Lepisosteus oculatus: one gene and its partners. The protein of the gene in region 1 purifies or fractionates together with the protein of each later gene. This does not show direct contact. Links are inferred from orthologs where the notes say so. Each region holds a gene or a part of one and is shown on either strand. Other genes may lie near its edges. The genes, in order: arrestin domain-containing protein 1, nedd4l, hecw2a and nedd4a.

The links.
Region 2: the proteins of arrestin domain-containing protein 1 (region 1) and nedd4l purify together in Homo sapiens (affinity purification with mass spectrometry; 3 studies listed by BioGRID and IntAct, counting the BioPlex papers as one, with this or other methods). This does not show direct contact. The link is inferred for Lepisosteus oculatus from reciprocal best matches to the Homo sapiens genes ARRDC1 and NEDD4L.
Region 3: the proteins of arrestin domain-containing protein 1 (region 1) and hecw2a purify together in Homo sapiens (affinity purification with mass spectrometry; 3 studies listed by BioGRID and IntAct, counting the BioPlex papers as one, with this or other methods). This does not show direct contact. The link is inferred for Lepisosteus oculatus from reciprocal best matches to the Homo sapiens genes ARRDC1 and HECW2.
Region 4: the proteins of arrestin domain-containing protein 1 (region 1) and nedd4a purify together in Homo sapiens (affinity purification with mass spectrometry; 3 studies listed by BioGRID and IntAct, counting the BioPlex papers as one, with this or other methods). This does not show direct contact. The link is inferred for Lepisosteus oculatus from reciprocal best matches to the Homo sapiens genes ARRDC1 and NEDD4.

The regions. Positions count from the first base shown.
Region 1 is NC_090719.1:1,903,780-1,911,053, forward strand, and holds the start of arrestin domain-containing protein 1, read right to left. Parts: upstream 3,181-7,274; 5' UTR 2,768-3,180; coding exon 2,650-2,767; intron 1-2,649. Other genes in the region: glutamine synthetase-like, read right to left, coding at 6,731-7,037. UniProt on the Homo sapiens protein: Functions as an adapter recruiting ubiquitin-protein ligases to their specific substrates. Through an ubiquitination-dependent mechanism plays for instance a role in the incorporation of SLC11A2 into extracellular vesicles.
Region 2 is NC_090698.1:20,486,161-20,494,060, forward strand, and holds the start of nedd4l (E3 ubiquitin-protein ligase NEDD4-like), read right to left. Parts: upstream 3,141-7,900; 5' UTR 2,613-3,140; coding exon 1,518-2,612; intron 1-1,517. UniProt on the Homo sapiens protein: E3 ubiquitin-protein ligase that mediates the polyubiquitination of lysine and cysteine residues on target proteins and is thereby implicated in the regulation of various signaling pathways including autophagy, innate immunity or DNA repair.
Region 3 is NC_090707.1:11,052,860-11,060,189, forward strand, and holds the start of hecw2a (E3 ubiquitin-protein ligase HECW2), read right to left. Parts: upstream 3,186-7,330; 5' UTR 2,616-3,185; exon of another isoform or gene 2,224-2,615; intron 1,208-2,223; exon of another isoform or gene 492-1,207; intron 1-491. UniProt on the Homo sapiens protein: E3 ubiquitin-protein ligase that mediates ubiquitination of TP73. Acts to stabilize TP73 and enhance activation of transcription by TP73. Involved in the regulation of mitotic metaphase/anaphase transition.
Region 4 is NC_090700.1:45,803,692-45,811,417, forward strand, and holds the start of nedd4a (E3 ubiquitin-protein ligase NEDD4), read right to left. Parts: upstream 3,092-7,726; 5' UTR 2,276-3,091; coding exon 764-2,275; intron 1-763. UniProt on the Homo sapiens protein: E3 ubiquitin-protein ligase which accepts ubiquitin from an E2 ubiquitin-conjugating enzyme in the form of a thioester and then directly transfers the ubiquitin to targeted substrates. Specifically ubiquitinates 'Lys-63' in target proteins.

The DNA of each region.
Region 1 (7,274 bases):
ATACAACTTTAAAAAAAAAACACAGCCAAGCAAATTCAGCAGACACGTCTCTGCCAGGCCGACTCCAGCTGGCACGAACAGGAACGGAAAAGGAAGTGAAACAGCAACCAAAGGCCTCCCCGAGATTCTCGGATCTATTTTTCATGCCAACCTTTCCGTTCCGGGGCAGGAACGCTCAGGCGACGCCCCCGGCCGCGGGCAGGGCCAGGGCAGACGCCGCAGGGGACAAGACGGGCTGCCAGGCAGCAGGTCAGGTCGTACTATTTGGTCCTGCGGAGATTTAGAAACTCGGGCATCTGAGGCTTTTGGCAGCTTCCCTGAGGCTCAGGAAAATGCCAGGACATCGTACTGCCTTTTCACGCCACTAATCCACATAATTCTGGTTTCATAACACCCCCCACCACCACCTCCCACCAAAAAAGGTTTAAAAGAAGGTTCTTCTAAGAGCCTGTTCAGTCCAGGAGCAGCACCAATGCTGACGCTGAGCTCTGGTCATGATAAACGTCCCAGATCCACAGAGCATCTGGCCTTGAGCTGCTGGACATGAAATTACAGCCCCGGCGATGTGGTTCGCAGATGGCCACACAGGGCCAGGTCCTGCCCAGCTCGAACCGACACTAAAACAGCGCCGGGAACCTAAAACAGCTCCAAACTCACTCATAGACAACACGCACAGCACTGAACTTCAAGCAGGACTTTTGCAGATATTAATCCAGCTCATCTCAGCAGAATCACCTCATGACAGAACGCCCCCTCCCCCCGCCCCCATGAATAATCAGGGGTGCCCCAGTAAAGTTAGGAGTCACGCAGCCCACCATGTTGGCAGGACTCTCTCTGCACCCCAATGAAAAGCTCTTGTCTGAGGCTGAAAAGTCTGAGCCCTACAGTCCAGACCTCTCCAGTTCTCAGCTGGACTACGTCTGAGCTCAAAGAGTACAGGAGCACACCTGACCAGGCTTCACTGGGCCTGGGTGGACTTAAATCTGGGAGAGCATCTCCCTTGTAGCAGCAACCACTAGGCCCAGAGCTGGGTCCTGCCCATAATCGAAGCGGTCTCTGTTGGTGAGGCTCATGCTCTTGCTGAGATGTGGACTCAGGCTGGGCAGGTGTCAGATGATAGTGGGCACCATCTTCATACCCAGAGCTACAGCGAGAAAGTCAAGGTCATCGACCAAATACAGGGGTACAAAATATGGAAAAATGGAAATTCAAAACCTTTTTTTTTAGGAAAGAAAATCTACCTGCAGAAAAGTACTGTTAAGCCTGTGAATAAAATGCAATATCTATGCAGACGCTTTTAAGCAAAAATTCGTTCATAGGCATATCTGGACATAAGCAGAGGAGCTCTGTTGAGATCTGGCCTTAAAAAAAAAAAATAGAATGGAAACTTCATATCCTCTGCTCTGCCTAGAGTCTGGGCGCTGAGTCATGGTTTTGTCAGAAGCCTGCAACACAATGGGGACAAAACCATGTATCACCTGCATGGCATCCTGAGCCCTGAGGCCCAGTCTATCTCACCTTACAGGTTCCACAACCCCTCCATCCCCATCCCAGCAAAACAATCTGGCAGTGTGCCCCACGTGGAAAATTTGCACTCATCTCTCCTGTTGCCCAACCCACCTGGAGAAGGGCAGGCGTGGTCCACAGCTCTCTTTAAAACACACGTCCATGAGCTCATAACGAGGGAGTGTTGTGTTATTGTGGGAGAAATGTGCCAAAGGAGGGGTAAACGCCAACTGAATGGCGTCGATCGACATGATGCACTTTCAACTAGTAAGAAAATAGAAGCGATACACACAGGACGTGTTGCGAAATCCCCTTTCATCAACATAGGTGTTTTTCCAGAGAGCATGACGCGGCACAGTGACGTCACTAGCCAGCAGGAAAGAGTTGGCCAATTCCACAGACAGCGAAACGAACGAGGAAGAATTCACGGTGCTCGTATACTTCTGACGACAAGAGCCAGGCGTTCCTTTTCTAGGTACGCTGTCCTGTGGACAGGTACAAAGACGCACACCTGTTGGAGGTGACAGAGAGCGCTGCCCTGCGCGTCCAGGCGCTTCGAGATACGCGCTACAATGAACTCGATTATAGTCCTTCTAGCATTAGACAGCGTCATAAGTAGAGGGGCAGTAGCGTCAGAACAAGCTCTCAACCCGGCTTGGGAAGTCGGAAGAGCCGAGCGAAGTGAATATTTTCCTGCCCCCCAGGAACAGCCACGCAACTCGCCCAGAGCAGGAGGGAACTCCGTCCGGCTACCTGCGAGTCTCCGGGGGCTCCGGCGGTTGTCGCTTTAGAAACAGGCGGTTCCAAAAGTTGATTACTGCTCTCCTAATCACGCCTGTCCTTGCTGGTTTCGCGGTAATGAAAGACATAAGCTACCCAAATCCTCCCCCCCACACACACACAGACACACAACTCTCTCCTCGGACCTGTCAGCTGTGTGGATAAATAGTTACGAGCGACTTTCCCCCCACGATGTCCTGTACAGCACCTCCGCCAACAAAGAGGTTACTTCGTTTCCAAAGCGGCGCCGCTCAGACACGGCGTGCCAAGACACACAGCGCTGAGGGGGGGGGGAGGACAGAAGGCAGGGTCCGACCCCGGCCCCTCGTCTACAGTTTGGCGAGGACGGGGGCGGCTGCTCACCTTTGTAAGCCAGCGGGCCGCTCACGGCGATTTTCACGGTGCCCGTGAGCGACTCGCCGGGGCTGTAGACCACTTTGCCGTCGGCGAAGGCGATGTCGAACTCCTGCAGCTTGCCCATGTCGGCGGCGGAGCCCGTCTCTCCCTCCTTCTGCCTCAGTCGTCCGCGGGCAGCTTGGCCGTGCTCCTCAGAGGCGCCGCACACGGCTGCGCTGTCCCACCTGCTGCTGCTGCTGCCGCTACTACTGCCCCTCTCCTCTCTCTCTCTCTCCCTCACTCCCCCTCCCTCTGCGGGGCGGCGCCGACGTCACAGTGGGCCCGGCTATTCCCTCGCCCCTGTGGCTCCGGATCCCGGCCGCCGGACCGGCGGACCGCAACACCTTCCCGGCTCGCACCGCCCTCGCCGTCACGTGTGGCCTGCAGTCCGCACGTCATGAGGGCGCTGCTTTTCGGCCCTGGAAGTGTCAGTTATCCGCTCCCCGGGCTGGGAGACTCTTGTCTTCGAGATTATTTTCTTCCAGCGTGTCCTGTCCTGTTTTTTTTTTTTTTGGCTCTCTTTGTTTTGTTTTTTTTTCCCAGCCCTGTCTTGCGTCTCAGAGACAAGCGCGGAGTTCGCCAGAGGCGATTTCAAAAAAAAGTTTTAAAAGCCCCCCCTCCCCGAGACGCGCCGAGATGCGAGTCCAGCGGGCAGCTTCAGGTCCAGACCAGCCCGGTCACGGGGATCGGGAAATGAAGGAAAGGGGGAGAGTGCAGGCTGGACTCGGAACTCAGGACGGGAGACTCTTCGTTACACAAAGAGTTGTGGGTGTCCAGAACAAGCTGGCCAGCTGTGCTGTTGAGGCCGGCTGACAAGCCCTGACCCCAGTGAGGCGACACGATGTGTATATATATACACTAACTCGTCCCAGGATGGAAGAGGCATTTAAGAATGGAATCATGGTTCGAAGCCATTCCGCCCATTTAGCCCAGATTTTTTAAAAAATAAAATAATAGTCGTTATGTGAAAAACGACTTTGGCAAATGTTAAGTTGTAAAGAGGGCTGGAAAACTCAAGTTCGTCTTGGCTAGAACCCCCATCCCTCCCCCTGAGCATCAGCGATGTAGTTTTTATACACTACTGGAGTCTCTCAGTCTCACACTTAGGAAGAGCAGAGCAGAGAGAGGGAGATGCCGGTTGCCATGACAACAGCCTCTTGGCTGCTGCACTGCTGCTACAAGTCCATGGTAATGGTCTGGTGGCTCCGAAGTTGGGGGGGGGGGGTCCACAAGGCTGTAGAAGTCCGAGGAGAGACCCGTCTCTGGTCACACAGCAAGGGTCAGGAGCACAACAGGGCACAGTTCTCTAGCTCAATGGTCCAGACTGGGAGAGCCTGTAAGATTGTAAGATGACCAACACACACACACACACACTGAAGTGAATTCCTTCCCCGTTGCCCAGACTGCGTTTCACCGCGGGCGCAGACCCCAGTGGAGCAGGCTAGGGATCTCTGTGGAACTGGGACGACGATGGAATTAGATTGCGTATTTTACATTTACACTAGCCGTGTAAAACCGCTGGCTGTGAATTTCTCTTCCTTGCAATGTGGTTTAGGAATAAATCGGCCCCTTCGGGGTAGACAGGAAGTGCTGGACCCCCCGCCCTTACACACACACACACCCCTCTGATTGCGGTTTCCTGTGACCCAGTAGCTCACACTACGCCCCTGATCCCTGGGGACCCCTGTGTCTACTGAGCTCCAGCTCTCCGGTACCTCTCGATGACTTCGCCGATCTGGAACTCAGTCCCAACTTTGAAAACCACCTCACCTCAAGCATGAAATCCACTGCCTTCAGCGCAAGGAACGGTCACCATCTCTCCTCAGCCCCTTCACCCTGATTCCTGTCCACACGCCTCTTAACAGAGTCCAGCTGCTGATCTTTCAGACAGCACACCTGCATGGGGGCAGGTTCAAACCTCAGAAACTGTTAAACGGGTACACATCCCGTTTAAATATTTGCCCCAAATAGAAGATAGAAATCAATCGGGCAGAGATTAGGACCCTGAAGATACAAGAGATCCCAGAACCAGGGTTTGCGGACACGTCCAGTCCTGGTCCTGGAGGGCTGATATAGCTGTGGGTTTACATTTTAAAATTCTCTCTACCAACCTACAGCTCGTTATTGGCTTAGTTGGGAACAACTTGTCCCCTCTGTTAAGGTGCAATACCTTAAAAAGATCTAGAAAACCTGCAGTCAGACTGGCCCTCCAGCTCCAGACGGCCCTTTGTCTACCCTGATGCACTGCAGTGGACAAGTGTGCAGGTAGTGAAAAAGAAGTGGTGTATGTTTCCCTCTTGTGGTAAAAAGTCAGAGTGCATGCTTGTAGATTTCACAAGAGCCAGGTATCAAGACAGGTGGTCAAACCCGTCGCCTACAGCACAACAACAGATGAGCGTACACTGTTCAGACATATTCACCCTGAGGCGTCAGCTGGTTTAAGGAGGCCACTGGGCTTGTCGTGTGCTGTTAGGTAGTGGTCAGAAGCTCTGATTGGATCTGGGTTTGGACCTGGATGTCAGGATGGAGGGAGAGTCTTTGGGGAACAAAGGAGAACTGCTCACTCTCTCGTCACTTGTACGTCACGAGGCAGGTCAGAGCGAGCGTCGTGATTCATGGCTAGGTTTTCAAACTACTACAGTTTGACAAACTGCCACTTGATGGGGCCTACCCCTCACCAGGTATCTGTTTCTCAGAACAATGAGCATCATTACCAATGAGCTCTTTCCCACAGCGTGAATAATCAAGCAGCACAGTGGAGACAGCACTATTGCGTTTATTTCACACATACTCCCAAAGACAAAGCCGGGAGATCAGACCCGTAAAATTAACATCACACCTTCATTAAAAACCATACAAAAAGTGACACATTAAAATAATACAACTCAAAGTTTCATTTTGTCGTTCCTTAAGTTGAATGAGCTGAGAGTGAATTGCTTCCACCTGCTGCACAGTGATATTTTTCCTAAAGATTCACCTGAATTAATTGAGCGCATAAAAAAAAAAACTCTATCTGAACAAGGACAATGAGCTACTAACTACCATATGGGCTACATGGGAAGGACTGCCCCTCCCACCACCTTGTTTGCTGGTATCACCACTTTTGAAGGCGACGCATTTAAATTTTAAAATTTTGATTAATTCCCCGACAACGCTACACCGCTGAAAAATCAGACTCCAACTCATCCAACAGAGCTGGAAAAACCTACGGCTTCATTTATCCCACTGAATAAATACTCTATTAACTCTAAGTTTACAACAGTCTTCCGAGATAAAAGTACAGCATTATCATGCTTAAGACTCCTAAAAAAATAGATATATTGTCGGCTTTCTAAAGTGCTGTAAGCCATTACCTGCAAGACAGCTGTTCCGTTGTGCAAGATCACACCCTGGAGCAGGGAAAAATCATGGATAGCCGTCACTGTCCTCTGGAATGCCCCTCCCTCCTCCCTGGAAATCAGACCCCCCGTGCACAGCAGTCTGAGCCACTTCACGTTTTACCCACGGCACCTGGCAGCAGGTGGGATGATCCCGCAGGGAGGCGGATCCGGATCCCCACGGCGCTCGGCAACCAGGGAGGTGGGGGATCGGGATCCGCCTCCACACTTGCACGAAGAAGCCTGGGGTGGCCCCAAGCCTGTAGTGGCCCCCGAGGGCCAGAAACGCAGATATGAAATCGGGGGGGAGGGGAAACAGGCAGAGCGAACGGTAGAGGAGGCGGCCGTCGAGGGGTCTTCCGGGCTCGTTGGGGGTGCCCAGCAGGGCCCGGCCCGGCGAAACGAGCTCGCGTCCAGTACAGCGTGGATATTGCATGGAATGCCTTACAGGGGTAGGGTGGATTTTTATTTTCTTTTTTAAGAAGTGCTCGCTCCTCAAACACACCCCCGCCCTCGAAGGCGTTTCCCCGTCAGCGGAATATTTCCGACGCCTGCCCGCTCCAGTGCCTCGGCCCGCCCGCTGCCAGCGCGGCGCAGAGCAGACCAGGCTGCTGGGCACCGGGGGGGGGGGGGCAGGGGGGGTACGGTCCACCTCCCACACCCGGCGCAGCTCAGGCGCTGCCCTCGCCCGCCTCGTCCAGCACGCAGGTGCGCACGATGGCCTCCGTCACGGGGTAGGGGTCGCAGTTGGCGGCGGGCCTGCGGTCCTCGAAGTAGCCGCGCCCGTCCTGCCCCACCTGGCGCGGGATGCGGATGCTGGCGCCCCGGTTGGCCACGCCGGCGGAGAACTCGTGGAGGCTGGAGGTCTCGTGGCGGCCGGTCAGCCGGCGCTCGTTGTCCTTGCCGCCCCGCGGGTCGTAGAGGCGGATGTGGTGGGCGTGGCGCCTGCCCAGCTTCTCGATGGCCTCCTCGATGTGCCTGGGGGGGGTCAGAGAGGGGGGAAGCTCAAGGGCACCGCTGGCAGCTGGAGAGAACCGAGCCAGCGGGGGGAAATGCCATTAACACTGGATCAGAGCCGATGTGGGGGAAATCTGACGACATTCCAATATTCCCACAGATATGGGGGATAACAAGCGCTTAAAAATGAGGATTTTTTTTGCAAACGGCTGACTGCAGCTGGAAGAGAAGTTCAGTATAATTGTATAGACGTCCATA
Region 2 (7,900 bases), on another chromosome or scaffold:
ACAAAGCAATCTATATTCCTCATTTCTTTCTGTCACTTTTTCAAAATGTTACAAAGCCCATTATATAATGAAATGGATGTTAACAACAAAATTAAAATAGCACATTAACAAAAGGTATTTTGCCAGCTACAGTATTTGTAGGAGCAATATGAGCGCACAGATGCTAAGCTTCAGCTTTGTCAATAATTGTCCATCTCTAAGAAAAAATCATGAAATTAATTACCATTACGGGCGCCACCATGACACAGATGATATGCTGGATAGATTCTGCAATGTTATTAATGTACAGTGAATATTTGTTTAATAAAAAAGGTTAGTGTTTCAATATAGCAACTTAATAGTTTTAACTGTGTTATATGCAGCAGAAAAAATGGTCTTTTTAATCTAGAGATATGATACTGCAGGAGAACCACAGAAACACTGAGGTTCTTTCACATTTTTATTTCATTTCATTGTAACAGTGAATCCTATGGACAGTTAGGGCGAAGAGAGTGCTTGCACTTCACTAACATTTTCTCCATTAAGGATCCAATGACTTTGAATGATGCGGATTAAGGATTTTACAGAACTCTTATTTTTTAAGACTGATTAGCTGTTAATAGATTTAATACATGCATATAGAGCTATTATATGACTTACTAAAAAACGTGGTCATTTGTAATAGAGCGTAACTTCCTTCAGAAAGTAGTTTTTATCACAAAAAGATTACAGAGATACTGTAAAAATATGAAGATGGCCCCTTTAAAAGAAATGGCTTTTAAAAACAGTCTTGTCGGATGTAACGTAACCCTACAGCTCATACGCTAATGACCCTACCCGTAACAATTAATTAGACTAAGTCCAGCCAGGAAACTCTGGCAGTCTCAGAAAACAACAACAACAACAACAAAATAATTTAAAAAATAGAACCAGAGTGAAATGCAAAAGCAATACTTATTTGTTCATATACTTATCTAAATGCTTAAAAATTTCTATCTAGTAACCAATAAATCATGCATAACTATAAATATTGTTTGTTATAAGTCTCTGTTCATACAGGCCATGAAACTCACTTGTAAAAATAGACTGAAAAGGATGGATGAATGCTCATACACTCAAATACTGTACATACCTATGGATTTTACATTTTTCTTAAGTGAAAAAACATTTATGTACGTAAACGTTTAAAGTCCTCCGGGGGAGTAATAAAGGTCAGTCTGCCTTACTCACAGGCTTCTCTCCTAAAGCAATTTCTAGAATAAATCCACTCTCATTTCCAAGCTCTGAAAGCTGCTTCTTCTAACCCTTCGGTTTTTCATTTGCAAGGTATAGATAAACAGTGGATGCACTTTCCAGAAGAAGGTTGTTAGTTAATCTTAAAACCTACCCATTTTTCCTAATGAAATTCCTGCCAGCAGGAACAGCTGTTTCAACTTATATTTATCAGTATAAATGCAAACAATATAATCAGTACCAATAACAGTAAAATTAACAATACTAAATTATATACAGTAGTAGCACACAGCACAGCACATTACCTGGGAGCTAATCCTTGTTTGCCTATTTCCAGAGTTTATATCCTGTGGTGAACTCTGATTCTGCTCTTCTCCTCCTCGGGTAAAATAGATCTTAAACTGGGGCTGCCTGTTGTTTTGTTCCTGTCTGATTTTAAAGGTGCAACCTTGCAAAGCATCATCCACATTCCTACTCTGGCCCTCAGGGTCCTGGTTTCTTCCTGGAGTGTCCTGCCCATCTCCAGCACTACTCTGAAGTAGTGGGGTGACAGCTCTGGGCTGCACCGGTTGCGAGGTGCTCCTCTCCAGTCTTATTCGGGGATACCTCACCACCCGCTCTCCCTTGGTGCCCGTGAACCCCAGATCTGCCCCCTCTGTCCGCGAGCCCTTGGGGATGCCAGCTTGATTTGGCTGGAGCTGAACTATGAAACGTTGCTTGCCCAGGGTGCCATTAGAATCCTGGTGGACAGACCAGCGGCGGTGGGGACCATTCTGCCCCTGGGCTCCACAAGGCAGCATTTGAAACTCTGAGCCCCCAGTAGAATTCCTCTGAATGCAGAAACCACCAAAATTAATTCCACTGGGTAGATCTTCATTCATCACTCCTGGACTGCTGTGGCCATTTTGGCATTCTTCAGGCAACATACAAAACACCCTACGATTGCGTGAACTGGGATCACCAGACAGGTTCCCAAATGCTGGAGTCCATGGTGAAGCTTCATTGTTTCTGGGCATGTCTGTAGGCAAGGAATATTTCCTGTTGGGCTCCCTGTAGGCTGGAGCTGGGCCCAGGAAAGACTCGGGACTAGGAGTAGGAGACTCTTCTTCTTCTCCATTTCCAGGGATGCGCTGCAAGGAGATCTGCATTGATGAGCTTTTTGTGGGCCGAGGATCTATCGGGTTTGAAAGCTGAGGGATGAACATAGAGGAGCTACGTTTCAGGAAGGTTTCTCCGGACAAGGAGCTTTCAGGATCGGAGAAAAGAGGTAAGCCTCTCCTGCGAGGCAGTGTGTGGAATGTCATGGCAATGTCGTCTTCTGTTGCCCCCTCCAGCTCCTCCATCTCAGGGGCTGTGTTGCTACGCCCGGAGCCAAAGTAAAGCCTCAGTCGGTGGGCCATGTTGAGCCTCTCTCTCCCTTTGTCTGATTCAGTTTCTCTCTCTCTTCCCTCAGTGAAGGGAGCAAAGCAGAAGGAGTTCACGCCACAATAACAAGAGAGGCACTGCCAGGGAGTTAAAAACTCAAAGCTGCAAACTCCAGAGGAAAAAAAAAAAGTGTCCCATCTGCCAAACTGTTAGCACTGCAGGCTGATAGCGACAGATAGCAGAAATAGCCCAAGTGACAAGCAGCATTCCAGGCATGATTGGATAAGGGCACTCGGCGCTCCTACACACTGTGACATGGGGTAGGATGGCTGTGGTCACGTGATGCAGTTCCCCTCACCAATACTTGCCAGTACATCTCTGGTTTTAAACAGTCCCAGACTGAAACAGCACCTTCTCAGCTGCTCCTTATCCATCAGAAAGGAGAGGGCCCCAGTGGGAGAGAGAGCGCTCACAGCTGAGTAAGGCAACACAAATTCAACACAGCTATAAATCTTAAAACCACATCCTACAAGCAGGGGACGTTGGATGGGTTCTGGACCATGCTTTTCTGTGGTATCTGGGATTTAAACACCAGTAGAGTTCTAGTATTGTAAAATTGTACTAACTGTAACCATTTCTTCAATGTTTAAGAGAAAAAAAAAACATTTATATCACAATCTTGGAATTCAATTTAAGTTCACTTTTTGACATCAGTACAATTATCATTAGCTTAAAAACTATTCAAAACTAAAATATAGTATAAACCCAGATGTGAAACATAAATAAAATACAACTAATAATAAAGTGCCTTTAAAATACAAACATATTCCCTTTTACCATCAAAATGTACAGTTGAGGAAAGATATTTTCTTTTAACCAGCCATATATGTACAGCACTTTACAATATGTTGCTTTAATCTACAGGCAGAAATAAATGTGGCATATTGTACGAGACTGAAATGAATACATCTCAGTCAATTCTTTTATATGAAATAAAACAAAAAGAAACAAAATGAGTTTTCAAAAACATTTCTAATTTACACAGACTTTTTTTCTGAAAAAGGAAATGTGAAATCTGAGATGACCAGATCACAATCTGGTAACATATTTGCCAGAATTCATTGTAACAACAATATAGTATTACAACTATATTTTGTTTCTAAAAAAGTTATATTATTAAGTTTCACATTCTAGTAACAGGGAGTAGATGTATGGACTTGTACAGTCAACAATCAAAAAATACAGAGGGTGAGTGCCAATTTGGATTATAAAAATAAATGGGTCACAAACTCATAAACATTAATTACTTTCCAGAATTTTATAATGCATAGGCTTATACTGTAGGAGTGATTACTTTTCAAGAAATCATTAATGCTGCATTAGAAATTAAAAGGATTCCAATCTGGTCTTTTAAAGCTGACAATCATTAGGATAGCTTTTTTTTTAGTGCCAGTATATTAGCAGCTGAGATAGCCTGTTACCCTAGCGTATAAGACTTTCTTTGCAAAATACAATACAGTGAGTTGATGACAGCCTAACGTCTTATGGTGTGTCGTGAAGAACTCATAATGAAAGAATGCAGTTATTCATTCTAATGGGAGCTCTCAGAATGGATTGTTTAGAGAACGCGAAAGGTTGTTGCTAGCAAGTCAGCAGTTAGTTTATGGAATAAAAAGGAACATTGTGTAAGCAGTGCAACTGAATATGTTGTTTTGTGTTCATGTCAGTGCAGTTTAGAGCATATGAACATGCACCTGCACAAAGTTCAGGGATACAGGTGCTTGCAGCCTGCAGAAATAAAATCTTTTTGTCTTCATTTTAATGTGATTTTACTTACAGTACAAATTTGTTTATTACTCTTTTCCTTTTTTTACAAATAAGCAAGAAGCCTCATTTTCAAAGTTGTTAAAAAAGAGGGTGTAGCACCAGAACTAAAAAAATGTTAACCCAGTATTTGGTTTAACAGTGTGCTGGAGTATTCTAATCATTTTTCCTCTCATTGTCTGTGTGCCTGTAACTTACAGTAGTCACTGAGACATTAGGCGTCAATTTTGTGTGCAAAGCAAAGTAATTAGTTGTCATTAAACAATTATCCCATTTTCCGTTGTCTTCTTAATATATAAGGAATCTGGACAAAGAAGACAACAAATGGAAAGGATTCAACTGTTCAAAATTCTCAAAGGAAAAGACAAATTCAACCCAATGGAGGTTTACAGAATTGAAATGGAAACATGAACCTGTAGAAACAGATCAAAACTACAGGGAACAGGAGGCATTTTTTGTAGAAAAAGGTTTGTGGACCAAATCAGGAACATGCTACCCAGATACTTTATGTTACTGAAGTTAATACCTTGGCTTCTTTCAAGAGGATGAGATCTTTGGATCATTTATCTAGTAACAGAGCGAATGAGCTTAGGGAATGGCCTCTTATGTATAAACGTTCTTATTTTCTTATGTTCTGTCCATTTCTACAAATGCAATATATTTAATAATATAATTGAAGTCCAACAACCTTATGAATCTTTAATATTATAATTAAAATAAACTTTTTGGGATTTATCACATGACATACTGTAGCTGTTTAAGTTAACAAGTAACTGATTAATAATTTTTGGGCCATTTTAATTGAGGACAACTAATCAATCCCCAAATCCCACAATGGTATATCATAAAACAATATAATACAAGCATGAAGTGATTAACTTGTATTTATAAAAGGTAAGTTTTATAAGAATATATGCTGTGGTGTAAAATCAAGGCACTCCAAGATTCCTGATCCTAAATGTTTCTCTTGCCCGACTTCAGCATATCCCAGTGTGTTGACGATCGAGTCACAATCAATTATCAATCTGCACAACCAACTTCTATCAATAAAGAACGTGAAATGCATAAATCTATACAGACATCCTTTATAAAACTACTTTTTTCACTGTACAACATCTTTGATTTAAAATCACATAGGCATTAAAATCAGTTTCCACATATTTCTGTAGAGAATAGCCAGTGTTTTGGCAACCATACAGTCTTTCATCCTGTAACTTGAGGATACAACAACAAAGAGACGAGAATGTTTTTTCTAATGGTCAATTTGGGTGAAATACCTATTTCAAATATACTTTCCTGTTTATTAAACAGTCCTAGTGTTTGAAGACTACCTGAAACCTCGCATGTCTTAGGATAAGGAATTACACTAGCAGAGGCTTTTGTAAGCTTTATTTTTAGAGTGTGCTAGAATAGGTTATCACGTACACATATTTATCCTGACAAGCTTTGCAAGACTTAAGGAATAATATGTTGGGTAATTAAAAAGAGGTTGAAATGCTTATATTATCTTTTAATTAACAGAACTTTCCTCTGTTTTTTTAGGTTTCCAAAATGGAAGGCGTTAAATCAAACTTGACACAGGTTGGATGGCGAAAGAAACTAAACACTACTTCTAAACAGCTTTAACTCCATCCTGGCACCAGGAGAATAGAAGGCAACTGTCTCACTAGCTTTCAGATCATTAACACCAGATCAGGGCCGTTGTGTAATAATGGAGCCAATCTCGAACATACAAGGCCTTTCTCATGACACTCATCAAACTACATTGTAAACTATAAAATCTGAAATTTACATAAAAAAACATAAATAAGCGAGGCAGCTATACAGTATTCCAATGAAGTGAAAATGAAAGTTACCATGAAAAAAAAGCTAGAAAAAATTAGAAACAGCTTTTGTCTAATAGCTAGTTTAAAATTCACATCTCTTCTGTGTTATCACATCAGTCTGTCCCTTCAACAACATTTTTTAAGGAATGAGTCAAAATTGCAGTACAAATTAAATAGAAAAGATCTGCAAAGTTAATACATGAAAAGGGAACTCTGCAAAGGAAAAAACAAGGTAATTGTGTGTAGGATACCATGCAAACCCTTCCGTATCAAGAGGAAAAGAAACTATTTACAACAACCAACCTAAACATTAATGTATCAATTAGTCATTATCAAAACACATAACGCATTTAAGGAAGATAAAAATAATAAATGTCAAGAAAGCTTGTGTGGTGTTATTGGGCTTTTTCCTGAAATAGTATTTTAGAAGGTGAATTGTGAGGTTACTTACTAGAAATAATTGCTCTATTAACGAATTGAAAAAAAAAATCAATCAGAATATTAAGAAAATATGAATGATTATAGGATAACAGGTTATTATTTACAGTGATACCAACTTGCATCTTGGTACACTATTTGAAAATTAACATGAAATGAAGATTCTAATGGTAACATCACTAATATGTTTAACATTAAGATGATACTTCAGAAAGTGTAAAATAAAAGCAATTAGCTTAAACATTTGATGTAAATAAAATAAAATATAAATAAAATCACACAAAATTGAGAAAAAAACTGATTTATAAAGTACTGCTAATAAAGACCTCAGGCAAAATTAAAATATATTGTTTTTCTCAGCCTTTAAAATTTAATTAGCCCCCTTTTGACAAGCTCCCCTTTTGTTACTTTATTTTTTTTAATGACTTCTAAATAAGTTCTAAATAAGCTTACAGTTGTCCAGATTATTTTGCTAAACCAGCAGGTACATTACATTTATGATAAAAAAGTACTTATATATCTCAGAAACATGGCACCTACAATATTGATATACTGTAGGCCCTGCTTCCATTTTGTCTCAATGAGGAAATAGTTTTATTCTTCTTTTTCCATCCATCTTTTAACCGCTTCAGCCAATACAGGCTTGCAGGATGGGCCGGAGTTTATCCTGGCATGCAAAGGGCGCAAGGCAGAATACTGTACATCCTGGACTCACACACAATCACAATTGGGCCAGTTTTCCCAGAAGAAGCCAATTAACCTACAGTACAAGTGTGTCTTTGCACTGTGGGAGGAAACCGGAGCACCTGGCAAAAGCCCATGCGAACACAGGGAGAACACACTGTACAAGCTCACGCAGATAGCACCAGGTCCGGATCTGAACCAGCACCCAAGATCTGCCCTAGAAAAACATTTATGAACCAATAAAATATTCTACCATCTCTATGGCAATTGCAGCAATATTTCTTGTCATTTGAGCTCAGGGAAGTGATAATGGGGTGGACTGCAATACATATACTGCAGTAAATAAAACATTTATTGCTGTCATCACTGTAGAATTGTACAGTAGGTGAAAATACTGCCCGTGATCTTCATGCAGTTCTACACAAACTTTTATATGCAAAACAAAACTTACCAGCCTGTTTTCATCAAACACCTCGAAGAGGAGCCTGTGGTTGTGCGGGCTAACCTGTAGCATTAGAGAGAATAAATACATTATTGCAGTTTTATGGTCT
Region 3 (7,330 bases), on another chromosome or scaffold:
CTTAAGATCCCACAACAAATTCCTAATCCTGGATTTCACATGATTCACAACAGAAAGAGTGGCTACAGGATAACCTGAAGGTGCAGGATGAAACCCTAAAGCCTTAAGATTCCAGGACACCAGACAGCCTCTGATACCTAGGGATCACATAATCTAATACAGGATGACAGCCTACCACCTAGAGATCACATGATCCCATTCAGGGTGCTCACTGAACTGTGAGTGAATGGCCAGTAAACTGCTGCACACCCACACATAATGTTATACTAAAAGAGACCCCCAGATACATACTTTAAACAGCATCCTTTAGTGCCTTTCCAAATTAAGATGTTCCACTTTCCATATCACTATTTACCGTGAAGACTCTGTTAGTTGTTCTCCACATAGTCGGCAGAAGGTTTACACCATACATATTTGATTGGAATTCTAACAGCAGTCAAGCTAAATTCCCTCACTGAACTCTACTATAAAGACTCTCATAGCCGGCTTACCTGTCTGCTCCCCAGGGTATGAAAATGAGGATTCAGCACACAGTCAGCTCAGCGTGGGACAGCAGTGATGAACTCAATACACACTCATCATAGCTACACAAGAAGGCTTTAGCCACTTTATAGACAGACGCCTGGAGAGACTTCTCACTGACCCTTGGGAGTCACTCCCGACCACTTTAAACTATCACACTGTTCTTTCAGCAATCCGTAAAAACAGCCTTCAATCTGGATTTAACCCAATACGAAATTTCGGAACATCTCACGTGACCTGAAGTGATCATATGATTTGTAACACGTCGCCTGCCAGGTGGGCCCTAACAGGCAAGGTCCCAGGGGTCGTGGAGAGCGTTTCTGGGCTTCACAAAGTGTGTCAGTTTTGCCAGGAGGTTGTTTCGAAAAATAATGGCAAAACCATGTTATTATTAACTACCCCTATTTGGATCTCGGGTGCACATGGTGAAAATAAAAATTCTTAAAGCTTTTGACAGACTGAAATGTCGCACTGCATGAAGAAGCGAATCATAAATACGATCATATGTACATTGTATAGATCGGAATCGAAATACGTACAGTATGGATATATCCGAGGTGAGAGGTGACGGATCATACAGGATAGGTGTGCATAGGAAGCGCAGAGTGCTGGACAGTGGATATTAGTCTACTGGAAAAAAAAAACCCGCTGACAGCCCAATCAAACGTCACGAGCACTGAAATTGGACTGAATCGCAAGGTAATTTAATAAAGCGAATTAGCTGACTCCGTCCCCTTGGAATAAATAATGTCACTGTGATACTGCAGTCCTGAAACGGCTTTCAGGAGTTGGTAGCTTTGTCTCTGCTACACGTCATGGTTGTAATACTGTACTGGGTTTATCGGCTAGGTTCTTAAAATTCGCAAACAGCTAGCTAGTGGCTTTTATCTTTAAAAAAAAAGCTCTAATGGAGGAGAAAACTAGTTTATGGACAGGCTAATAAAATTAGTGAACAAATACAACACTATTAAATTAACAGTTATTGTATATTTGTATGATTTTGCTTCCGTTGTTTGGTTCAGTTGGCATGCGGTCTCGACGAGGTGGAAAAACAACTAATCGCCATTCTAATGAAGCATACAGAAACTATAAAAAACGTGATAAACTATGGTAGTGTAATTGACAATTTGCTCTGCAACAAATTGCATAACATCAACAAGTTCCACGGTTTAGGGTTTTTCTGCGTGGTACCGTTATGAAGTAAAAAATGCAAAAAATACAGTAATTATCATAGTGCAACACAGGTAATTCAACACAAGCCCCAAGCCATTCAGTACAGTACTAGTAAGTTTTATGCATTCCTTCGTGTATTTCTATTGTACATTTTTACCTGTCTTCCTTACTGTCACTCGCATATGCCTGTATCATCATTAATACTACAGCCTCAGCCCTCTCCCTAGCGTTACTGAATAAAAACACAGCTTTCTGGAACGGAGAGTCTGTTCTGGGAATTCCCTCGATATCTATTTATATTAATAATACAAAGAATCAGCATATAATACCGCAAGACCACACGTAGCCCACTTTGATCGAAGGTTTTGAAAATAACACAAGCCAAATTCAAATCTTATCATACATCAGATATTATTATTATTATTATTGGTGTATATATACATATTCCGCACGCCTGGTTGTAAAATAAGCAAAAACAATCTAAGCCGCGCATTACGTAAGCATACACTTTTCCACTACCTTACTTACCCCGGGAAGAAAGGAATACAAAAGAGGGGAGGCAAGAAAGAAAGGGAGCCAGCAATTCCATTTAAAAAAATGTATTCAAACCATAAAGATGCTTAGAAAAATCATGTATTTTTTTTGTATATCCAGTTACAGCGTTGTAGGGATGGGCCCCGGACCTCATCCAGGACTTGGCGTGCGCCAGAGGCGGCTCTTACTGCATCCCCGTGCCTGCCCCTCTCCTCTGCTCGTGCGGGCTTGCTCAGATGTTTGAGGAGTCCGAGGGGCAGTGAGGAATCAGAGACGCCCCGAAATCGGCAGTGGTGATGTTTTCCCGTGTTCCTCGAGTGGATGGGCAGCGGCCAGTCGTCTCATGGAGAAATCTCATTTCTTATGTATTTTTTTAAAGACCTCACCTCGCATCCGCCAGGGCGCCTATTTCCGCCGCAGAAGCAACAGCACCCACTGCATACTGTAGCTCCCTGCAATCACAAACGCATTCCTTCGCCTCATCCCCAAAATGCACAGGCATAACTATCCGTTAACTACACCTTCTATTCTCTTTCTCCTTCAGAAAATATGTGCTGAAATATAAACGGAAAAAAATAAAGCAAAACGGGTAAAGGAGTGATAACTGGGGTACCCCCTATTTTTTACAAACCCAGTGAAATACCAACATGTTGAGTTATCATTCAGTTTTTAATTTTGTTGGATACAGAAGCACCACTTTCCCTTCATCTTGGATTTCTACAGCGCCAGGCAAAGAGCAAACCAGGAAGAAAACGCACACTGAAGAGGGGTTTGAACCATCCCGCAGGAGAGAGCGGGGAGGATTTCTGTGCATAAAACTGAGAGCGAACCGATTTCTACGGAACGTATACAAACAAAAATACAGTATTGTACACACATTCGGTCAGGTGAAAGAGAACCGTATATTAAGGTCCTCTGTTACCTTTTAACTATCACCATTTCACTCTACGAGAAGAGCATTCCTAGTTTGTCATTGTATTATACACGTCTGTTAAATTCATTATTTTTTTAAAGAATGCGAAAAAAAACGTTTTTACAGTCGCTGTCGTTAACGACAACCATTGTTTTTTTTTAAAGCAGCAGGATGATTATAATACCCATTTCAGAATTTCTAATGCAGCACTTCATATCTTAACCTGCAAATTAAAACTATCGCATTGTCCACATCTCCGGATCCCACGCACAGAACACAGGCTCAACCCGATCGCAGATATTCTCCGATTTGCACTCTCCGATTTAAACCCTTGTTCAGCATTTCATCCTTTGCGTTGTTTGGAATTACAATTCCAATATTACAATTTTAATGACGGATGAAAAGCAGTGTAACTAGGAATTGAGGTACAGTATGTGAATTTCTATGTTACATAATTTACCACCATAAAACCAGCTTGAAGTTCTATATACAATATAAGCTCGATTTACATCTTTTAATACCTCAATAATGTCTCAAGGAAACCACCTAGAGATGTCAAACTTCTTGTATTTTGTTGTGTGTGATTTGGGATTTTTTTTACATCCTTCACTTGAGCATTTATATGCCTATTTATTTTTGATACACACTTTTTCAAATATTAATAACTTTGAGAGGAAAACATGCAGAACTTTCAAACCACTGATGTTTATTTTTTCAGGAATTGTATTTACACTGCATTATTTAGAAACCTTCGTTTTTAGGTGCAATATACATGAGTTCATAACGCGAGAATATGCGAAGTACCTGCATATGACCATATAAAGCAGAATACCAAAATTCAAAATAGGTTACAATAATGCATCTTGTGTGTGTGTTGGATTCGATTTTCTTTAATTAGTTTTCATTTTCTGTTTTCATTTCAAAGGGCCTTTAGTATTGCAGTTACTGTACATATGCTATAAGTTTGAAAGAAGGAAAGATGTGCTGTACTTGGTAGCTTTTTTTAAGAGCACCGATGAAGTTCAACCCAAGTGTTTTACAGAGTCCACGGAAAGTATGAAATACTTTCTGTGGACCTTACGGATTTTTTTAATATGACTTTAGTCTACATGCAATATTCTGGGTTAGGTGGAGGTTGTTCCACAGTCAATACCTTTTTACCTAGAGCCACAATGTCCAAACCAAGTGTTTATTAGGGTCCACATTACCCTTGAAATTTCATAACCTTTCTTCTAATTATGAAACTTTCCTTTCATTTGTTAATGATTTTTTTTAAAAAATATGGCACTTAAATATTTAAGTATTTAAATATTGTACTTGCAATATTCTGGGAGAGGCAGGGGATCTTTCACAGTCAATAGCTTTTCCACCACAGCACCAATGATGTTCAGACCATGTGTTTAACAGGTTCCACGGTACCCCTGAATTTTCACAACCTTTCTTTGATTTGTAAAACGTTTCTTTATAATTTTATTTCTGGCTATGTGTCCTCTTTGAGGAGTTGGTTAGGTCCCTGCCGATTGTGCTCTCCTTTGTAAACATTCCGATTGCTTTTTGAGGTGTTTGTGGTCTTTTAGGTACTGGGGTCACATGGTGGGATGCTGAGGCTTGTGCTGCAGATGTTTGGAAGCAGTACCATGAAAGCTGGGAGTACGTTTTCTAGATTGTGTGGTGTTGCATGTCTTTTCTTGGCAGCAGGGTGGAGATCTCTATTCTGATGAGAAGGACTGATGGACCGAACCGCCTGCTGTCTTTGGGTCTTTAGATTGTTGGTACCATGGAAGATGATGTGCCTTGGTGTCCATAGGGTTGATCTGGAAGGAAGCCGAGGTGCCTTTTCTTTCATTGGACACCATACCTTTGCTGTTTTGAGTCCTGGGAAATGCCTGTGTTCACTGATGTATTTCCCACTGCAGTCAATGGGAATGGCTACCTCAGAGTCACTGGTTCTGGAGTGCCTGAGGTGCACTATACTGCCAAGCAGAAGTTTGTGTGGGAATGTGTGAAAATAAGGTGGGGGTGTTGGGTGAGGCCATCTGTGGGGCCGGTGGTGTGTGTTAATCGCACTGTGTTTAGGCAAAAAAGAGACAGGTGTGCAGTGAGAGTGTTTGGGGTGTTAGAGTTTGCTGTGCAGATAACAGGGTTGTCAGTGTGTGTGGAGGTTTGTGTAATTATGTTGCATCCTGAGCCTCAGGGCTGTTCTGTTGTTTTTAGGGCTGCAGTAAGAAATATTCAGATTCCTAAGCTGTTGTTTGAGAATTTTTACTTTCCTTTCTGTGAGCTGCAGCTCGGCTCTGCAAGGCTATTGAGGACTGCAGGTTTTTGTTGTCCTGCAAACTCTATCATTTGCATCTGGATGTGGTGATTTCAGATCTTGTATTCATTTTTGAATGTGATACTTTATTTTTTTAATAAAGTGGTAGTCACCACTTTGTGAATCTCGCCAGAATCAGTTCCTGCTGCCTACCTCTGCTGATGCCTCTTTTGGTGATATTTGATTATATCTTGCATATATCTGTGTGCCAGGCTTTTTGGTGCTCAGTAACATAACATCACTTTATTAGCCCTATATAATTTCTTGCATTAGGAGTTTGTCATTCCGCATACCCCACCTTGCTCTCCACGAGACACAGACAGGGAGAGAAGCTTGAGGTCAGAGCACAGGGTCAGCCATAATACAGCGCCCTTGGAGCAGTTTGGGATAAGGGCCTTCCTCAGAGGCCCAACGGAGTAGGATTCCTCTGCCAGCTGCAGAAGATAGCCACAGAACCACTGCTCCGCCCAGTAAAAAAAAAAGGTAGTTTTCACAGTTGTTTGCCTGGTAGCAGCCAGCAATAAGGGTCTCTGGGTTCTCTCTCATCATTTTTTCCATTCCTATATTTTCTTTCTTGAACACTATTGACCTGGCACAAGGGGGCTGGTTTCTGCATTGTATTCACCTCTGAATGGGCTGTCTGATGGCACAGATATTCAAGGAATGGATTCTATGCAGGTTCCAACTGTCAAAGAAATCATGATGAGGACAAAAAACCACAATCTGCACCCATAGCCTACAAACACACAAAAGTCCAGAACCAGGAAAGCATTCCAGGAAGACAACCATAAAACACAATCAACTAATGAAGTCTACAAACAGACCAAAGTCCAAAACCAGGTAGGTAACCAGGAACATAGAACAACCAACAGGGAAAAACCAAGATGCAAAAAAAAAAGAAGGAAACAAATCCCAGGAACAAAAAACAAGAATTAGGCTAACAAGGAAAGCAAGCAGGATTAGGAGAAAGCTATTAAAATAAGGGAAATAGTAAAAAATGAGAATATTTACAGCAAACAACACTATACACAATGTGGTTAGAGAGCAGGATTTAAATAGGCCTGATGAAGGAAAGTAGGGAGAGCTAGTGACACTAGACAATGAGGGAGTGGCAAAAGACATCTGCTTGGTCTGTTCCTCTGCTGTACAGCAAGAGTAGCTCCTAGAGGTTGGGGGTGCCCTCTGGTGGCAAGATGGTGGAACCATAGCGACCAAAGAATCTTGTTTTCATAAACAAGACACAGAGGTGATACTTTGCAAACAGATTAACAAGAGTTTAACAAGCATTTACTTCCTCTAATTTAATGATTGATAAAAGACAATCACCTTTTGTTACAACAGTTGTAATAGTGTTGCAAGTCTATATGAGTGCATACTTATTGTGAGATTTCAGGTGGGTAGCTGCGTCAGCATGCGTAGGCTGTAAAGGAACAACTAATAGGTTTATTCCACTCTGAAAAAAAAAGAGAAAAAAGCACAACGTTTCGGCCATGGAGCCTTCTTCAGGTGTGCTTATTGTGAGAAGTTTATAGTGAAATCAAGTATTTTCACAAAAACAAAACCCAACAGTATCGATTGTTTTTTTTTTATTTTTAAGAACTTTATTTTCTTTTCACAAAAAAAAATACAGGACATCACAAATTAGAAAGCTTTACATTAATATACATACTTAAAACAGTATATATGATCACATCTCATTACATTTTGACACGGTACCAGTTACATAGCAACAATTTCTTTTTTTTCTGGTGCAAATCACATTCTTTACTTAAACACGATAATGTTTTTCACAGTTTCTTGAGATATTGCAATTTATGGGATAGTTAAAAGTTTTCTAAGATCTCACCCAATTGGCCATATTCCCCTCCGAGATG
Region 4 (7,726 bases), on another chromosome or scaffold:
GCAAACTGCAGTACAAGAGGTTAATCACAGACATAAAAAGTGGCTACGGTTTCTGTTCCCGAAGGATACGCCACTGACACACACCTGAAGGTAGCTCACAGACGGTCTGTGTATTGCAGAGTTAGCTGGCAGTCTTTGTTCTAACAATGAAATCAAATGCAGAACCGCAAACAGCAACCGAGGTAAGAGCACAGTACAAAAGCTACCAACTTGTTCTCCTATCACTTCAGCAGGTTTCGGAAATTTTTAGGGGATGTGGTTTTTAAACTGCAGTAACTTAAGAATGAAATGTTTCTTTTCCAAGTCAAAATGACACATTAACACTGACATTGTGGCAGAACCAAAAGACGGACTCAATCACCATAAACCTTTATCAACAGTTTCCTCACCATCTTGTAACCATCTGTTGTTCTCGGTTTTCTTCTCATGAGTGATCAGTAAAAATCTGGTGCACATAATCGGTGCACGGCAGGCACTCTACTGTATTTGCTGCATGAATGTTAGCTAAAAGAGCAGAGGTGTTTAATACTATTCTGAAACTATAATGTGTATTTATTTTTTGGTTGATGTTTTTTTCCCACAGTTGTGAAACAGTTTTATGGGCAACTGTTTCACAAAGGTATCTAAAACACAACTTCCCATTTATGATACCAGACTGTGCTGAAAGATTACATGTAAACTTTGTCTCGTGACAAAAGGGAACTGAACCTCGAGACCTTTTTACTCTTCTGTACAGACCAGGAACATGAACAAAGCAGCTTACCTTGTCCCTTTTGCCAGGGCTGCCTGTATCATTGTCAGCCTTTGAGTTTCTGTTTATTTCCTTCAGGGAACCACAGACCCTTCCTTCAGCCCCAGGAGACAAATGAATGTGTACATGAGGGGGTCCCGTCTTCGAATTATGTCTCCTGGGATTGGAAACATGGCATGAAATATGTTGATATGGCACCTCAAGGGAAAGGCTCCTCTGCAGAGCATGATGACGACCTTGGTTTCCTTCCTTTTTGTCTTCTGCCCTAAAGCCAACTTGGTAGTCAGGACTCCTCTGCAATGGGAGATATGCCGATGTGCTTCGGACGAGTTTAATGTGGCGGCACAGCGGTTCAGTTTCGAGTCCCGGCCCTTGAACAGCTTGCTCAGAAGTGCTGTGCTGCCCCTGTGTCATTGTCCTCACGCTCTCCTGGGCAACTGCCCGTTGCCGAGAGAAATGCAACAAAATGCTCGCGTGTCGTTCTGATCGGTCACAAACAGCTGTACAGTCCTGACCAATGTCAGTTTCCCTGGGTTTATCTGGCACTGGTGTGTTGAGATGCAGTGGCCTTATGTCCCTGAGTTCCACAGTGGGACAGCTGCTTTTAGACAACCGCAAGCCACTGAGCGCTGTTGCGATGGAGCCTTTGGATGCAATCTGATCGTCCTCTTGTGCAGACTCGCCGGCAGTCAGTGAGAACTGGTGGGAGGTTTGGTATGGACCACGCATCGGTGCAGGCCCAGGGCTAACTGGAGAGGCTGGCGGCGTGTTACAGGGGCTCCGTGGGAAAATGACTAAGGAGGAGCAGCGCCTCAGCGGTACCTTGGCCTTTCGTCTCGTGAAAGTCCTTTCAGGCCCTGCTGGGCGTTCAGGGATGTCAGGTTCGAAAAATGTACTGCTACCACTGCAGTACCCCGCATCGCTAGTTGTGCTGCTGCTGCAGGAACCTCCATCTATGCTTGGGCTCGCACATGACGCAGAATCCCCACTGCTTGTGCTGCTTTCATTTGCGCCAGAGCTGAAAGAGGTGCCTTCATTCCTGGTACCAGTCAGACAAGATCCAAACTCACCTTCATTACAGGAAGCATGATCAGCAGCGGGATAGTGAGGAATAGCACCTGTGTCATCGCTGACAAGTTTGCTGTTTGAACAAGTTCTTCCATCACCTGAAGCACGAATAAAACAGCCATCATGAACAGCCGCAGGGCTGATGCAACTTTCCAGCTCTCCGTTCAGTTTGCGAGGCTGCAGGGAAATTTGCAAAGAAGTGCTCTTTTTGCTGTTGTTTACCTTAGGTATAAAGACAGATGAGCAGCGCTGTAAATTTCCAAACTCTGGTGACAAGGGAGGCAAAGCCAGCTGCCCTGGAGTTACCTTCATTTGAATCGAACTCTGCCCTCTGCTCTCTGAAGGGCTCCGGGAGGACACGCTGAAGTTTTTCTCCACGCCATTGCTGCAGGTCTCCGATAAAGGGTCAGTGTTGCTCCTTCTGGTTGCAAAATGCAAGCGAAGCCGCTGTGCCATTTGTCTTACTTTCTAATCCTGTAAGCGAGTGGAAGGCATAGCAAAACCCACTTGAAAAGAAGCAAAGCAACTGCTTCGGATCCTGTTCTGTGATTACAATCATTAGTAGCTGTACATAGCCGAAATAGCTCCAGTGACAACTTACATTCCTCTCGTGGCTGTACTGAAGTTATTAGCCAGGGAGGTCAGATGAACTCTGAAGTGTAAGCACAACCAAACGAATAGCTCCTGAGACTGCACAAATCCTAATGGTCTGTATCTTTAAGGAGCCAAGGTACATTCAGTCACAGAGAACAGCATTGTAGCAACTTTAAAGGCAGAGCTCAGCTGCTGTACTGAACCCAAGCCAAAACCTCGCTTCAATTATACCTTCTCCAATTTGCACGAACGAATCCAGCCCAAAAAAAACAATCTTCTAGCATTTCACATTCAAGCGCCACAGTACTTCTCTCTTCTGCTCCAGGCCAGCCGAGCCTTTAGAACTGCTTTAAGCAGCAATGTGTCTGAAGTTTCTTTGCTGCGCCGTAACACCACTAATATTTTTACCCGTTGGGATAGAATTACAGGAAATCAGGAAGAATGAGGTCCAGCATAATTCAGTATCAAACCAAGGATTGAATTCCCAAATACTATCCATACTAGAAAACCACTGGGATTGTGCAAATATGCAGGAAGCTACTGGTAGTTATTACTAACTGCAAATGAACTACGCTTGTAAAATGATGTCTGTTTTCCTGTGAAGCCCTTTGATGAAGAGATAAAGCACTGGAAGTAGCGATGTTTACACTAAGCATTCTCCAATGAGTTACCCCAGCTATGAAACTTGTTTTGCTGAAAATCATCCATTTCACTGCCCTAATAAAGCCCAAAATAAAACTAAATAAAGTTTTCAGTATGAAGGCGAATATTCAAAACCTTAAAAAAGAATTTATTATTTTTACAGAATATCTTAGGAAAACATTCACCACATCTACTGACATCTGAAACCCTTTCTACTGTCTATCTACTTATGCTACTGTAGATCCTTATATTTCTTTTGTCTGAGCTACATAACTGGGAATCATATTTAAACCCTACAGAGAGGAAGCAACACTTCCTGACACAAATTGACACGGCACTCAACACTGATGTACCCATTAGCACCTCTAAAAGACTCAGCCGATGGAAATATCCCATAACGGAACCCTATTTGATAATCCTTAGCCATTTCACTTAAAGGCAACGTCAAGACTGCTCACCCCCTTATTATGCGGTGAGCCCTGGAAGATTCTCAGTAGGGTGTTCTTAAATATCCGTAATTCCACAACTGGCAAACCACCTGCCCGCTTTAAGTATTAATCAAAGCCGACACCAAATGTTGGAGCTGGGAAACTGAAGAGCTTGCCATGTTCTCACCGGACTCACCACCACTTGGTTTTTACTCTTGAGAATGGTTCCAAATCTCTCACAGCCTATACAACTTTCTTTAAATCCGGGGTGTCCAAACACACTAATAACATCTGAGGAGACCCAAACTCCATCTATAAATTTTTCCTCCACGTACACTTTCAACATCTGTTCATTATTCAAGGCTGCAGAGCATTTGTGAATTAAATCAAGTATATTCCCCTTACAGATTTTTTCCTTGCATATTTGCAAAAAAGTTTCTTGCCATATTAAACAATAGGACTGACAAAGAGGGAAAAAAAGAACAGTATTATTATTAACTCTTAGTGAGAAAGGTTCCTTAGCTAATAAGAAACAGAACGCCATCTTCCTATGTGGGAGTTTATTTAACCTTTATGGTAATTTAGTACAGTGGCCAGTAACATAAAAAAAAACATTTCATGTTCATACTTTACTGCTTTTAATGTGCTGACAACACATTCATTTACACTTTTAATAACACCCCCGAGCATATTCCATTTCCCTTACCTGCATTTTGTAGCAATAAAATGCAATAAAAGGTATACTGGGTCATTCATTGCAAGTTAACACACCAAATAGCTGAGATATTTATAGGCATAGCCCATGGGTTCACAAGAAAAAAAAAGATATACTTCTAAACCTTATATTTTTCATTTAGGTTTTGATTAATTCACAACCGATGAGAACTCCATGCTACTATATACAAAGAGACATTTATCCAAAACTTAGTATTTGAAACTGCTTCTAGATGTTACAAAAACACACCCTTGTTGTAAAATCAAGCCTGAGAAATACACCAAGTCAAAGAAAATGTTATTTTTAGCATACTCAAAATCCTGAAATATTTTTGTAATGATTAGCACACTCCACTACGTAGTTATTGGCTTAGAAATCTGACAGTATTACTAAATGATTTTTCATATTAAAAAAGATGATACAATAACTACAGTCAATTATCCAGCCAGATTATCTAATTCGTCGCATAGCACTCTAATGTGTGAAAGATGTCAGTTTTTCTGAAAAGTCCAGCACGTGTAATTGTTCTCAAATAATTATTCTCAAACTCCTAACAAAAATAAAATGCAGGAAGAACTACACAATTTTCTATCCGCAGTCACAGCAACAAATACATGAATACAAATATATAAAAAATGAAGAGTTATAGTGGGCTTTGTGAATGCAAAACATGACTATGTTTACAATAAACTTACCAAACGGTTTTCATCAAACACTTCAAAGAGCAAGCGGTGCTTTCGGGGATGAACCTGAAAGAAAGAGATTGGTATTTACATGCTGTACACAAGTAGTGAATAGCAAATGTATGTATTTAATCAGCCATCCATTTTCAAACCAGTTCATCCAATTCAGGGCTGCAGGCCTATCCCAGCAAGGAATGAGCACAAGGACGGATGCCAGTCCATCACATGGCACACACAGAAACAAACACATACTCACACCAGGGCCAATTGTGTCTTTGCACTGTGGGAGGAAACCCGAGCACTTGGAGGAAACTCAAGTGAACGCAGAGAGAACACACAAATTCGAGGCAGACAGCACCCCAGGTCCAGAACTGAACCCAGGGCCCAGCAGTGCGAGGTAGGAATGCTAACCACAATGCCTTTGTGCCACCCGTACTGAATCATATCTTTGTTTTTCACATAAAGTAGAATTTAATACATTTCAACCAAATATCAGGTAGACAATAACACAATAAAGAAACAGTATGAAGTGAGACATACTCTATGTTCATTTGCTACCGTTTTTGTCTAATACACACAGAGAGTAACATGAACTCTTTTTCTCATCCACTTCACATTTTCCTTTCTCTCTAAGAAATTCTATTATCAGAATTCCTGTTTTGTAGTGGACACTATGCAAAATTAAAAAAAAAAACATTAGCATTTCATGTTATTTTGTCTAGACTTTGTCTAGACGCATGTGAAAATAAATATTACACTGGCAGAAAGAAAGACAGCACTGTAATGAAATATTAGGCCTACACCCCTTTGGTGGACATTTTTAACATTTATCTGACAACAAACAAAACAAAAGAAACCTTTCAAGTTAATTTCCAAACCAGTACATTTATCTGTAAGCACTGGAAAGGCAGGAGACCATTTCAATCCATTCAGTACCCAAAACAAGACAAATGCATCCCAAAAGTCCACAAATTCAGTGTTCTGCCTAAAGAAAGGCTGAAGCCTCTCAGGTGGCTATTGTGGAATTATATCATTATTTAGGATGTGGGGGGAGGAAAGACCCTGAAGTTGGCTTTACACTGATTAAAGAGTAAATAAAGAGTTTACAAGCAGCTCAACATGTTGATGTTCATTAAGCATCTTCAGGGTTACTTTCTCTGTCCACCATGAGGTATGGCTCCTCTTTCTCTTACTTTCCCACAGACCTCCAATCCAGAAAAAAGTTTGGCCACTAAATTTTGGTAATTTCTCAACTGGGTGATCCGGTTTTCTCACTGCTAACAGCTACTGTGCACTGAGGAAATGGAAGTCATGTCATGGCATTTGCCGAACCACTTTATACCTTACAGTGTTGCAGAAAGCTGGAGCCTGCCTGGCAAGCAACGAGCGCAAGGCAGGGTACACCCTGGACGGGACGCCAGTCCATCGCAGGGCAGGGGCAACCCAATCATACATGGGGACAATTTGGGGGGAAATTTGGCCTGAACACTAGGATAACTCTCTACTCTTATCGGGAAATGCCCAGGGATCTTTAATGACCACAGAGTCAGGACCTCAGTTTAACATCTCATCTGAAAGACAGCACCCACTACAGTATAGTGTCCCCACTACTATACCGGGGCATTAGGACTCACACAGACCACAGGAAGGGTGCCTTCCCTCCTGGGAAGACCAGACTGACCACGCTCAACCCTGCTTAACTTCAGTGGGTAGCCAGTTGAGAGCTGCAGGGTGATATGGTTGCTGGCCAAGAAATGGAAGTATTCTGAATAATTTAATTTACTTGGCTGACAATTTTATTCAAAGCCTTGTACATTTGCACAGGGTTGGAATTTTACTGAAGCTAGGACCCCGCTCAAGGGTACAACAGCAGTGCCCCAGCTAGGATTTGGACCCACAACCTTCCAGTTAGGAATCAAGAGTCCTACTCACTCCTCTTCACTGACACTACAAGACACAGAGTAGCTCTCAGGCAGCTAAATCTATAATTACCACACTGGCATTATTTCATGTCTTTAAAACTGTACGATTTAATGCGTAACCCTAAACCTTTGACCAGATGCAAATCTGAACTCTAACAAGCACACCAAAATAGCTGACTGCTTAATGGGGACATAAAAATGTTGAATTTCACACCTGTTAATCTCTTACAGTTATACTACCATTATTAAAAATTTAAAGAGAACACACTCTGGAATCAGATCCTTTTATCAGCAGCTTGCTGTGCATTTTAGTGTTTCCCATACCCAAAAGGAAGGAAAAAAATAAACAGATGTTTATCTTGTTGTAAAGCTAAAAATAAATAACTATAAGAAAATAAAAGGGGTTACGGAATAGACAAAACCACTTTGAAGCTATAACCGATTCGATGATCTCATTCAGCATTTCTTGAAAGAAGCCAGAGTACCGACTTCAACCAGCCATGCATGGCTGGATAGTATGTTCCAGACCCCAACAACCCTTTGTATAAAGACCTCCTGTTCTCAGTTTTATATACAGTTTACACTTGTGCCCTCTGGTTTGTGTTTAGCTTCCAGCTCTGAGGAAGGCCCTAACACAGTTTTCATTTTTTTATGAAAACTGTGTTAGGGCCTTCAAGAATTTTGAATGTTAGAATTTTCAGTGTTACTTCTTTGCCTTTTTTTCTCTGTCCATGCGGAACATTTCTTTATTGATTCAAGAGTAACCAAAACTGTACACAATAATACAAATGCAGTCTTATTAGTGTACTGTACAATTTTAACTTCAGATTTAAGTATATATTCTTGTGACATGATTTTTTTTCTAGATCTAGAAAAGTCTAAAAGTTTTGAATGATCTATCAACATGAACGCTTAAGTCTTTT